Linked DNA regions of Drosophila melanogaster. Changing the gene in region 2 together with the main gene of any one other region gives a genetic interaction. Each region holds a gene or a part of one and is shown on either strand. Other genes may lie near its edges.

What was found. Genes that interact genetically often act in the same process or in processes that back each other up.
Region 1: of tll (region 2) and erm, changing one enhances a phenotype caused by changing the other (phenotypic enhancement), as found in Drosophila melanogaster (one study listed by BioGRID).

Annotation. Positions count from the first base shown.
Region 1 is NT_033779.5:1,949,489-1,956,906, reverse strand, and holds erm (earmuff), read left to right. Parts: upstream 1-2,353; 5' UTR 2,354-2,581; coding exon 2,582-2,593; intron 2,594-4,027; coding exon 4,028-5,851; coding exon of another isoform or gene 5,852-6,112; 3' UTR 6,113-6,668; downstream 6,669-7,418.
Region 2 is NT_033777.3:30,850,583-30,855,469, reverse strand, and holds tll (tailless), read right to left. Parts: upstream 3,156-4,887; 5' UTR 2,924-3,155; coding exon 2,848-2,923; intron 2,727-2,847; coding exon 1,444-2,726; 3' UTR 1,070-1,443; downstream 1-1,069.

The DNA.
Region 1 (7,418 bases), on a different chromosome or scaffold from region 2:
AGGTTGCACTCTGTTTGCATCTCTTTCCCGCTGACCTCTGAACTCTGCGCCATTTGCATCTGCGCTTTGCTCTCGTTCTCGCACAGCTTTTGCACTTTTTGTTTTATATTTTATTTTTGCACATTTTGCCGGATTTTCAAGTTCCTTTGTTGTTGTTTAGTTTAGTTCGTTCTGCATTTACAGTTAGTCCACTCTGCCACCCCTTCGCCGCCCCACGTCCTTATCAAGGATACGACTCCCCCCCCCCCACTCGCCACTCGTTTAAGTGTGTGTGTGTGCTTACATGGCTTTTGAATGGAAATGAACAGAGGTGAAAAGGAGCAGAGATAGTGGAAGAGAGATAAGGTGCAAAGATAACTACAGATAGAAAAAATATGTAGTAGTAGTAAGCTTAATATTTTTCACTCCGTTTCTAAATTCTCTTTTGAAAAATGTTCAACAGTTCAAATGTAAACTATTACTGAGACTTTTTCTGTTAGTGTATAAAAGCTGCATAGGCCGTGGTCGTTTTGTTTGTTGAATGTCCAGTTGGTTGTTGTTTGTGCTGCTATTTTCCCCTCGTTGCTGCCTTTTTTCACTGCGTTTATTTATTCAACTAAATGCAGATTGCACATTTCAGTATGTGCCGTTCATTTAGCTTCCAGTTAATCACGCTGTTTTGCCCGCTTTTTGTCAAGGATAATCACCGGATTGTTTTTGCTTCGTCGAACGTATGCTTACTAAAATATTGGAATTATTCACACAATATTGAAGCTTGTTAAATTAGGCAGTAGAAGACACCTATAATAGTATTACGAATTTCCATGAATTTTCATGTTAAAGTAGATTTACCCGTCGGCATCTCAAAGGAATCAAACAAATAGTTTACAAATATTGTACAATAGTTTTTATGGTTGCCACATTCAACCCATCCAATCAACATTACTCCAATGAGGAAACCTAATCAACAAAGAGCTGATATTTGCATATCGATTTCCCCACACAAGAGCCGCACAACAAGCCAGATTAACGGAAAATGCAGTCGAAATGGCGGCCATAGTCCTTGAAGGATCCACTAAAACCCCCACGCTCCCCGTCGGACTCGCCGAAGAGTTGTGCTTTTGTGTGGCCTTGCAGCTGCAATTGCTGAACTGCTCAACTCCAGCAAAAGCAGCCATGTGCCCTGCATTGCCCAAGAAAAGGTCCTGGACCGTGGTCCTGCAAACGGATGGAGTTGGTGGAGCAGGACGACAAGCACTGCCAGAGCAAACAAAGTCAAGAAAGCCGCGCTGGAGATGCCATCAAAATGAATATGGGATTATATTTAACTAGTGCTGGCTGGCGATGCAGGGGGCTTCAAATCAAACAAATGAGAAAGGTGCACCTAGAGAACAGGGAAGCTAAAGAATAATATAAAGTTATCTAACCAATTTTATACAATTTACAATCTTTAAAAATTGGCGATTGATGCTTATCCTGCGACTAACATTCCTACATAGAATAGGGATTACTGATTGGATTACGGGTGAATTATTTTCTCTGTATATAGCAAAAAAAGATGAAGAATTGGAGAGAATCAAAGAATCCTTGCCCGCTGGCGGGCTAAAGGTGAGCAAACAAAGACGCTGATAAAACGAAATGCCAAAACGACAATTGAAACGCCCAACAAAAGGCATGAGCTTTCCAGGAGGGGGATGCGCTGGGAACGGGGAACGGGGAAAGGGGTGGGCCAGTGAAAAAGTCAACTCGAGAGGCATCCACGAGGCCGGTGGCTGCCATTTCTTGGTGTCTGGTGTCGCCCCATCCAAATCAAGTGTGAACGGAATACGGCCAAAGGTGGCCCATCCATCCATCCATCCATCCATCTCTCCGTCCGTCCATCGGTCTCTTTCCAGCAGCCGAGTGCTACGCATAGTGCGCTCCCTCTTTTGCGGAACCTCCTCCATCTCGTCACTCCTCTATGTATCATCTTCCTGGGCTCTTGAGCTCTATCTCTATATAAATATTTTAGGGGCGGTCTCTGCTCACTGCCTCTCTCTTTCGCCGTAATATTCCAATTCGACATTTTGTCTTTTCATTCATAATGCAGTCGCAGTCGACGGCGACGTCGGCGTCAGGACATATCCTCCAATCTGAACGTGATGATTAAGTTCTCCTTTTGCCCGTCGCTCCCATCAATCCATCTCGCTCTGTCGCTCGACCAGGACGTCTGCATCCATCTCTCTCTCTCCCTCGGCATGCATTTCATCTCTCACTCTCGCCAACGGCGGCAGCACGCAGGACTCTCGGGGGTTGTTTCGCCAGGATTCACCCCAGCACTCGCCGTGTGTCCTTTTCATATTTCTTAAGGCCCGCACCGTTCGCTGTTTGCCTTCATTCCGCTTCGGTCGCTGATCCTGTGCTGAACGCGTCCTGTTCCTCGCGTCCCTCGATTTGCATTTAAAAAGCGTATATCCTTATCGACGAAACAAGTGAACTTTAAATAGTAAAGTAAAAGGACCAAGTTCAATTTGTGTGTGCCAACTGTTGTGTTTTGCCTCTAACAAGTGGAGATCGGCCGCCTGCCAAGGGAACTGGATATCCACATAGGCAGTGCCTGAATATGGTTTACTTTGTACGTATTCGATACATAAAAACTTAATTTATTACTCTGTAATTGCAAAACTCCGACGGGAAAAGGAAAAAACTATAAAGTACAAGTTCGCTTTTTCATATTAGAAGCATTTCGAAGCTATTTGCGTGACGTTCGTAAGAAAAGCAGGCATTTACATAGGTCTATGTCCTCTTTAGATAGTATTTCGTCTTGTATCTTTACCATCATTCTTAACACTTATGATTTTGATTAACCCCATCAAAAGCCAGCTTCATCTCATAACTTCTAACATGTGCTAGGGCATAGCCACTTGTTCAACTCAAGACAAAGTTTCCAAGTGCCTGTGTGCTCCGTTGATTGAATATTATTCCACGCACTTGGTTAATAAGCTCGATGTGGTTCGCACTCCCCAAGTGGCGTTCGTAGAGGCAAATTTTGAAGTGGCCACTAGAACACCAACATAATTCGGCTGCTTAAAAGTGGAACTACTCGTTCGTAGTAGTAGTAGTTTGGCACCCGGGAAACTTTGGGATCGAGGGCTGACCGCCGCTGCCTCCGGGTCAGCGTGTGAAATGGTTGCCGCCTCTCGTTTAATGAGATTAAAGCGCACTTTGGAAGGGAAACTGCAAGATGGGCGAACTGCGGACCCAGATGGGAGCTGGGCCTGCTGAGGCGTCAAATCAAGTTAATTAAAAGCGGCAAGGAAGTCGGTAATCGCACCGGATGTCGCACATTAGCCACACTCGAGGGCACATGGGGAAGATGGAGCCGGCGAGGCGGCGAGGCGGCCTTACACCTCCAGTCGAGTGTAAGCGATTTAATGAATCTCACATAAAGCCAAGACCCGCGCCAAAAAATTCGCATACTGCTTACTGGGCCTGTGTTATGATTGATGGCAATATGCTGGCGAAAGGATTGAGGTCTTTGTTTGGGTTAAGTGGAGTGTAAGCCAGGGCAAAGCACGGGTTAAATGCAAATAGCGTGGTATGCAAAATCGATCGGGTAATATTATGGAACGCACTGCGGTTTGCGTTTAATTGCAACCCGCTGGCTGGCCCTGAATTATCCTGCGGAAATGTCCTGCCGCTGGGAGCACGCCCTCCGCTGGCGTTTGTTTGTGCTCCCGAATTGCCAACGCATTAGTTGCACTTGACTGATCAGGCGGTAAATAGTCCGTACAGCTGCGGTCAAAACAATAGGGACCACTTGAAATCCGAGCAACTTGGGAATAGGTGTTGTTATTATATTCATAATTATAAACCGAAATATATGCTTTACATATATGCTTTTGAAGGCAAGAAGTTTTTAGAAAGGTATGGGAACCAGAAATGTTATTTATCCTAGTTATTTCCCCCCAACTGTGGCCACAAACAATGGAGGCGTATGCCTTCGATTAATTGATAACCCGTTGCTTAGTTTGCATACTCAATTTGGCTCTTTGTTCGTTTCTTACAGAGTCCGCGTGGCATGCAACCGTGTAGTCCAGCGGGAGAAATCGCAATGATGCCGCCTTCGAAGAGCCCCGTGATGGAGAGCGCCGCCTCCGAACAGAATCCTGCCCAGCAGAGCCAGCAGCAGGACGAGCAGAGCGCCAAGCGGGCGTGTCCCCTAAAGTTTTCGATAGCCAAGATCATGGAGCCGGATCACAGGCCCAGCCAAGTGCCACCGCCGCAGCCCGCTCCGGTTTCCTTCGCCACCAACGATGACGACGAGGATGAGGATCCGGAGATCGATGCCGACTCGGAGCGCTCCTGCAGCCCCATCGAGGTGATCAGCCTGGATCAGTCGCCATCCACTGTCAACTATGACTCCGCTTTCAAGAAGTATGTGCCGGGTCCGTGTTCGGGCGCCACTTCATCGGTGGCCTCGCCGCCGAGCACCGCTGCTGTGCAGCAGTTTGTGAGCTCCCGCCACCAGGAGCTGCTCTCGCAGTATCCCCTGCTGTACTATGCACCCAATCAGCTGATGTGCGCCGCTGCTGCCGCCCAATATGCAGCCCTTACCGCCCAACAGCAATCGCTGGCCAGCGCCGCCCACCTGAGCAGCTTCACCGCATCCCTGAATGCCAGCTTGCATCACTCGCAGTCGCTGAGAAGAAATCTGGGTCATCCACTGGCCGCGGCAGCTGCCGTGGCGGCAGTGGCCCAATCCCAGGCGGTGCCCAATTTGCAACATACCCTGGAAAAGTCGCCAGTGGCCCAGAGAACAGCCCAGAGTTCGGGATTGCAAGCTAACTTGAAGAGGAAACGATCGCCGCAGGATCAGGGCGAAGTGACGCCGCCTCCAGCGTCTACTGCCACTTCCGCCACTGGAGCCAGATCCCGCTCCCCCTCGCCGCAAGGATCCATCGAGGACAGCAGTCCCGGATCGGCCAGTGGCGGCAAGCCCAAGACCTTCTCCTGCCTGGAATGTGGCAAGGTGTTCAACGCCCACTACAACCTCACCCGCCACATGCCCGTCCACACCGGAGCCAGGCCGTTTGTTTGCAAGGTCTGCGGCAAGGGATTCCGCCAGGCTTCGACTCTCTGCCGGCACAAGATCATCCACACGTCGGAAAAGCCGCACAAGTGCCAGACCTGCGGCAAGGCCTTCAATCGCTCCTCCACCCTCAACACCCACTCGCGCATCCACGCCGGCTACAAGCCCTTCGTGTGCGAGTACTGCGGCAAGGGGTTCCACCAGAAGGGCAACTACAAGAACCACAAGCTGACCCACAGCGGCGAAAAGGCCTACAAGTGCAACATCTGCAACAAGGCCTTCCACCAGGTCTACAACCTCACCTTCCACATGCACACGCACAACGACAAGAAGCCCTACACCTGCCGCGTCTGCGCCAAGGGATTCTGCCGGAACTTCGATCTGAAGAAGCACATGCGGAAGCTGCACGAGATCGGCGGCGATCTGGATGACCTGGACATGCCACCCACCTACGACAGGCGGCGCGAGTACACGCGCAGGGAGCCACTTGCCTCCGGTTACGGCCAGGCATCGGGTCAACTCACGCCGGACTCCAGTTCCGGCAGCATGTCGCCGCCCATCAATGTCACCACACCGCCACTTTCCAGCGGCGAGACGAGTAATCCCGCCTGGCCCAGGTCCGCCGTTTCGCAGTATCCGCCCGGTGGCTTCCATCACCAGCTCGGAGTGGCTCCACCTCACGATTATCCCAGTGGCTCCGCCTTCTTGCAACTCCAGCCGCAGCAGCCACATCCGCAAAGCCAGCAACACCATCAGCAGCAGCAAAGACTCTCGGAGACCTTCATAGCCAAGGTGTTTTGACAGCGATACTATGCGGAAAGCTTGAACAGCTCCACGGGGTCGACCTCGACGACCAGCTCCACGGTGACCACCACCACCACGGCCATATCCTCGATGGCCACCTCCAGGAGCGATCTGCTGATCGACTGACTGCAGTTTGTGGCAGCGGCGGCCGCTGCGAGCAGCTCGAATTCCGGGCAGGATACCGGCGAATCCCCGTCCCCGGAGCTCGGATGCACTGCTCTGGGCAGTGCTGTCCGCGCACTGAACGGTCTCTTCTAGGCAGAAGGACCCCTGTCCACCTCCACCCACCCCGCAGAACCTCAGCAGCCACCAAATGGTTTCAACTTGTGCAATACCCCACTCAGAAGATGATGATGACGATGATGATCCCAACGCTCAGCCCACATCTCCAAGCAGCATTTTGTACATAGCGTATCCCTAAGAAGTCTCACAGAACACTCTACTTAAGCAGCTCTCTCGATGTATAGATGTAGTTAAAGGATTTACCTAGTTAGTCGCCAATACCGAAAGCCCTGAGTTCCGTGTAGACACGCTACACAGATCCTCCAGGACACGTTTCGATATAGAAAAAGGTGTTTTTAACATTGCGTTACAGCTTTTTGGGGTCTGTCAACCGATATACATAGATGGAAATGTATCTTAGAGTTGCACTAGATATCCGTACGTACTCTATCCCTAAGTGTCTGTGTAACCCAACGCAAATTAATGAAATTGAGAAACATTTTAACAAAGATCCATGAATGCATTGTATTTGTTTAGGTCTTAAGTGATATTATTGATACTGTTTAAGCAATAAACCAATTCTTCAATTATTAAACGAAAATGGTGTTTAGATATGCTGGGAAAGCGTATATAATCTTCATATGCACATATGCAAATAACTGAGCAACAGTGTGGGGTGTCATTGAGTCGAGTGGAGGGATCCTAAATAATGCAAATGGATGCGAAATGAAAACAATTATTGCTGCATTACTCGGGCCCAAGAGTCGCGTTTAATGGGCTCTAAACTGTCGCCACGTCTGCCGCATGACATTTGCAACTTAATTAGTGCCGACCAGCCCCCACTTTTTCACCTTCCACTCGGGAAAACTCCGCAGGTGGCCTGGGCCTGCCACACGCCTCAATCATTTGCATAGCACTTTGATCTGTGGCTCGAGAAAAGTCAGGAATACCGGCGTGGAAATGGGTCTGGAGCAGGAAGGTTGAAGTTCTTGAGCCCGCTCATAAAAATGCAACAGAAGCATCCTTATTAGTCAGGCGGCTCAATTAATAAGGCACGGTGGAAGTGTATGAAAAATATATGAACACATATAACCTTAGTAATTACCAAATATATTCAAGTGCTCAATATGAATAACTTTACTTGACAAGTTCAAATATAATATTTATGTTTATTTGGATGACCTCTTGTAGTCCTGATGTCTTTGGTTTGGTGACAGCGTACTATTGTTGGGCTTTAATACGAACGTCAGGAGCGCGATGCATGTGATGTCCACTTGAGTTGACATCTTTACCCTCTTCCTCTGGCCAAATCACATGAATAATTCAGAGCGCATTGAATATC
Region 2 (4,887 bases):
CGCAGGGAAATAGAAATATCACAATTTGTTACCCCGGGTTCAACAGCATCCGAGTGAACCGCCTGAGCACCCAGGACACAGGGTCGTCCTTTGGCGAAAGTCGAAATGGCAGCACCAACGAAGCATGCTTAATTCCCAATCCCAATCCCCGCAGGATGTTCTGGGTGCCGTGGTTGGATTGGAATCAGGCTTGGGCTCCGGACTCTCAGTTAGGGTAGGTTTTTGCACATCCTCATCGCTACTGCCATGGATGTGTGTCAGTGGAATACACTCATCTCTGTTTATTTTGGCCAACGCAATTCGAACAATTTGGCAACTGTTTGTTCAGCCTTTGCCAGCGAAAACTCATTTACCTCCGGCTGCACGTTGCTTGGCCATTGTGAAAGGATTCAATTGTCCTTCCGGCAGAGCGATCCCCGATCCCCGAAACCCCGTTCCCGGTCCTGCCAGCAATGCGACGATCCAACGCCGCTCGACAAAGTCACAAAAGTGAATTTTTGCTTTTTAACTTTTCGAATTTCGGGGCGGGAGAGAAAGGATATCAAAACTGGGGCGGCCATTGCACTGCGTCCCTCAGGTTCCCAAATTAATGCCGACTTTGGTCTGTTCATGCAGAAAAACTATGCTAATTTTCCACGGTTTCTTCTGCGATCTAATATTTCTTTGTTCCAGTATTTGCATAATTCATTTGTGATTAACTGGGTTGCCCTGTGCGGTTGCTTTGTCGTCTCTAAGGATGCGAAAAGCCTCACGAAATGGCCATAAAAAGAATGATAATTCCGTGTGTAATCTCATGATTCCATGTTTGGCATAACACTTTCAGCTGCTTACAAAAGTTGCGCAAATAACTAGGACCTACTTCTTGTTTAGTTTAGATATATTTTTTCTAAGCATAGCTTTTGAAAACCAAAAGACCTTTCAAATAATGTGAATACTACGTTTTTTCATTTAATTAATGAAATATATTTTTTCAAGTTTAAAACTTCCGATAGTCCAAATCCAAGTTCTGAAACTGTCAGTTCCATTTCTTCCAAAATATTGCATCCACCCAAAAAGACCCATTAATGTTCATTTCGAAAACCTTTAGGTTTATTTTGAATAATTATTTTTCCAAATCCTAAAGCTAATAATATGCGCTTAAAACTAAAGTGTTTAAAACTACGATTGACGTATTTAACAGGCAAAGTTGAAACTTTTGCGAATGCAATTTGAAACACATCTGGATGGTCTGAGAGACTTTAGCTAAGATTACTTCGAGTTCTGTTTAGGTAAGGTATTAAGGTGAGTGTTGTGTACGTATTTTAAGGCTCGACTCCTGGATATGAGAAATCGTTGATTTCACTGATCGAGTATTGTCCAAAGCGCTTCTTCCGAGATTATCACAGTTCCCAGCACTTGGAAGGCACTTCGAGTGCGGCGATTAGTCTAGGCTCTACATACTTTTCAGATCTTGCGCTGACTGTACATGTCGGAGATGAGGCGCACAATGGTGATGTCGCCGATGGTCTTTCGGAAGAACAGCTCCTCGATGGTGAAGCTTGAGACCTTGTGCATCAGCTGCACCACGCCCAAGAGCGTCTGGAATCGCATGGGCTGCGAGGGATGGGTCCTCTGGATGTAGTTGTGCAGCGCACTCCGGGCATCGTTGTGCATGGCCGCCACTTTTCCCGACTCCAGAAGACCCCTGGATTCAGCAGAGGCCGAGGAGTTCGGGCTGCCGCTTCCTGTCAGGATTGAGCTGTTGGCTAAATCCTCGGTAGAACTTGCCGACGGTGGTGACTTACGGAAGAGCGAAATAGCCCTCAGACACTCGTACTCGGTGCTGTCAATGTTCAGATGGCACAGTTGGTTCAGCACCTCCTGGAAGGCGTGCACCTCGCGGGTCACCATGCCCATGATCTCCCGGTTGGCATTCTCGGACTCGTAGACGAACAGCAGCTGGGCGAAATTCATGGGCATTAGGTACTGGGCCATGGCCAGGATGAAGAACTCCTTCCAGGACTCCTCCAGCAGGAGCAGCTGATCCGGCATGGGCAGTTCGGTGAAGGCCCGTACGCTCTTGATCCAGTTGACGTTCTTGAATAGGTGTTCCGCCGCGGTTTCCTTGATGTGCTCAGCTGCCATCAGCGGAGGAGTGGGGGGCAGGGCCCGAGTGGCCAGGGCATTCATGTAGGCGGCGGTGGGCGAGAAGAAACCGTGGTGTCCTTGGTGCACCGGGTGATGGGGCACTCGTGGCACGGATAAGTCCAAGACAGCGGCAGCCGATGGTGGCGGCTGGAAGGCAGCCATGTGAGCAGGATGATGACCAGCCCTCTGGGGCAGGCCAGGCATGGGCATCGGTACTCCAGGAAAGCCGGTCAAGGCAGCCGTGTTCATCAGAATTTCGGCGGGTATTTGTGGCATCTCGCCGGCGCCCATCATGGCATCCTTGTACATGGCCATGTGGCGACGCAGAGTGGAGTTCCGCGGTCCCCGCTCGTGCTGCACTGCATCCTTGTTCATTCCGACCTCAAAGCACTTCCTCAGTCGGCAAGCCCTACATTGGTTCCTGTGCGTCTTGTCCACCACACAGAGTCCCTGCTTCTGCGACTTGCACACATACTGCCGGGATCTCCGAATGCTCCTCTTGAAGAATCCGGCGCAGCCATCACAGGCGTAGATGCCGTAATGCTTGCCGGAGCTGTGATCTCTGCAGACTTTGCAGGGCACATGGTATAGAATGCGACCTGGAAATTCAAGAAGGGGGGAAAGTTGGTATAAGTAAAGGATTGTCTTAATTTTATATATTAGGAAGATTGTTTTCTTCTTTTTTCATTGCTATCTGATTTTTTTTTTTGCTATACTTACTCGATGCCGCTGGCGAAAGACGCACGCTGTTGTATTTCTGATCCATCATGTCTGGTGAACCCTCCGACGACTGCATACCGATGTGGGGCGTAATTTTGGCGATTTTTGTAGAAACGCTTGCACAAATTGAATTTCACTTGGCACTGGTGTATCTTTGAGTCGTTTTGGATTTTTGTTTTAACGGTTTGGGTGGACGGCGGTATTGCGGATTGTGTGATATATTCGATATATCCTTGGTTACTCCGATGTGGACTCGCTGAGATCACGATGGGTTGTGTTGTCTGCTGTGAGGACCGCCGGCGTTTTAATAGTCCTGCAGACCAAATCCATTCATCGAGCAGTCGATCACCCTTAGGTAGACAAACTCCGCGTTCATTGGTCGAAACTCGGGAGAGGGTTGCTTCTAATGCCCTCTCTCGCATATCCTCTCTCACTCTCCCCTGGAGAATCCTTCGATCCTGCGGCAGGCTGCCATTGCGAAAAATTCATTGAGCAAGGAACGCAGCAGCCGTCGCTCATTCTCATTCTCAATTCTTTCGGTTTTTATGGCCCTTTTCCGCAGGATTCACTACCTGCTCTCTCACGCGAACTCCTCGTCCGTCTGCTACCCTCTCTCGCAGCAGAGAATCTCTGCCCGTCCTGCGACAGTTGTTAATGAAGAGATATCCTTCCATATCCATGGCCGAGTATTTTATGGCGCTGCCATTATTGCCGCTTTGTGATTTGTGTGAAGTACCTGTGGGTTCGCTTCTAGTCCTGCGAGGCGAGTCCTTTTCGAGTGGCGATAGTAGCAGCAGGGGTTGAATACCACGCACTATTGATTGTTTTCCATTCAGTAATTAGGTTTTTATGATGCAACCATATAAATGTTTAGGGAAATGATAAATCTAAAGACTTTGATAGATATCAGATTGTACAGATTTCTTGAGCTTATCAATTTTACACAAATCTGAGTATGAATTTTGTATCGTAATTTTTAAAAAATGTACTCAACATTTTTTAATTAAGAAAGTGCATTATAATGTTGAGCATCTAAACAAATTCTTCGATTCCCCCATAAAATTAAATTTTGGAATAACTTCTGCTAACCAAATACAACGTATTTCCTATATAAAATATATGCACTGATTAAAATAAAAAACAAATATTTGCATTTCTTAGCCAGCTTTGGCAACTTTTTAGGTTCAATCTAAAAATACTTTATGAAAATTATTGCGGAGCTCAGATTGCGTTTTTAATAATAATTTTTATAAATGCTTAATAAATAAAATTATTTTAAAGTAAACCCAAAACGGAGTTGTTAAAATCAAAGGTTCATGTTACTAAAATGGGAGCTAGCCATTTGAGATAGTAGCTCCCGCGGCTGAGCCAGATTAGGCGTTGCCTTTTGAGAGCCTTTAGGATTCAAGTGGACAGTGCCTCTAATCTCGCTTGGTCCTGCCAAGTCCCGAAGGACCCACCGATTCCTCGACTTAAGCTCGCCGCTTAAGCAGATTACGGATTTTAGATCGCGGGAGTGGTACTGCCTGGAAAAGGCACGCTGGTCGGGAGGCTGCTAGATCAAGCTTTTCTGTCTTCGGGATCAGCGAATTCAAAAGAAAGACATTGTGCGAGGTCCCAGCATCGGGCGAGTACTTAATAATGTTAAGCAAGATCCTGTAAGTCTGGTGCGATTACGCACCAACGCCTAAGGCCATGTGATCCTGATCCAGGACCTCGAACGTGGGAACAGCTCTCTGCTCGAACGGACTCGAATGCAGAAGGGCGGAGATGCAAATGCAATTCATTTGATATACGATAGACACTTGAAAAGAGCAATTATATTTCGATTCGTATTACGGATGCGTAACTTGATCAATAAAATGCTTGACATGATATCAACAACAGTCGCCAGGGGTTGCAATGTCCAGGGGTTCTAATTGGACTAGTCAACCCCTGGATGATGCTGAATCGGAGGGGGTGGTTAATTGGAACTCAGGTGTGCTGCATGGGAATTCGCTTGCGTGTGTTGCTATTCCGATCATTAGCTGGACTTCCATG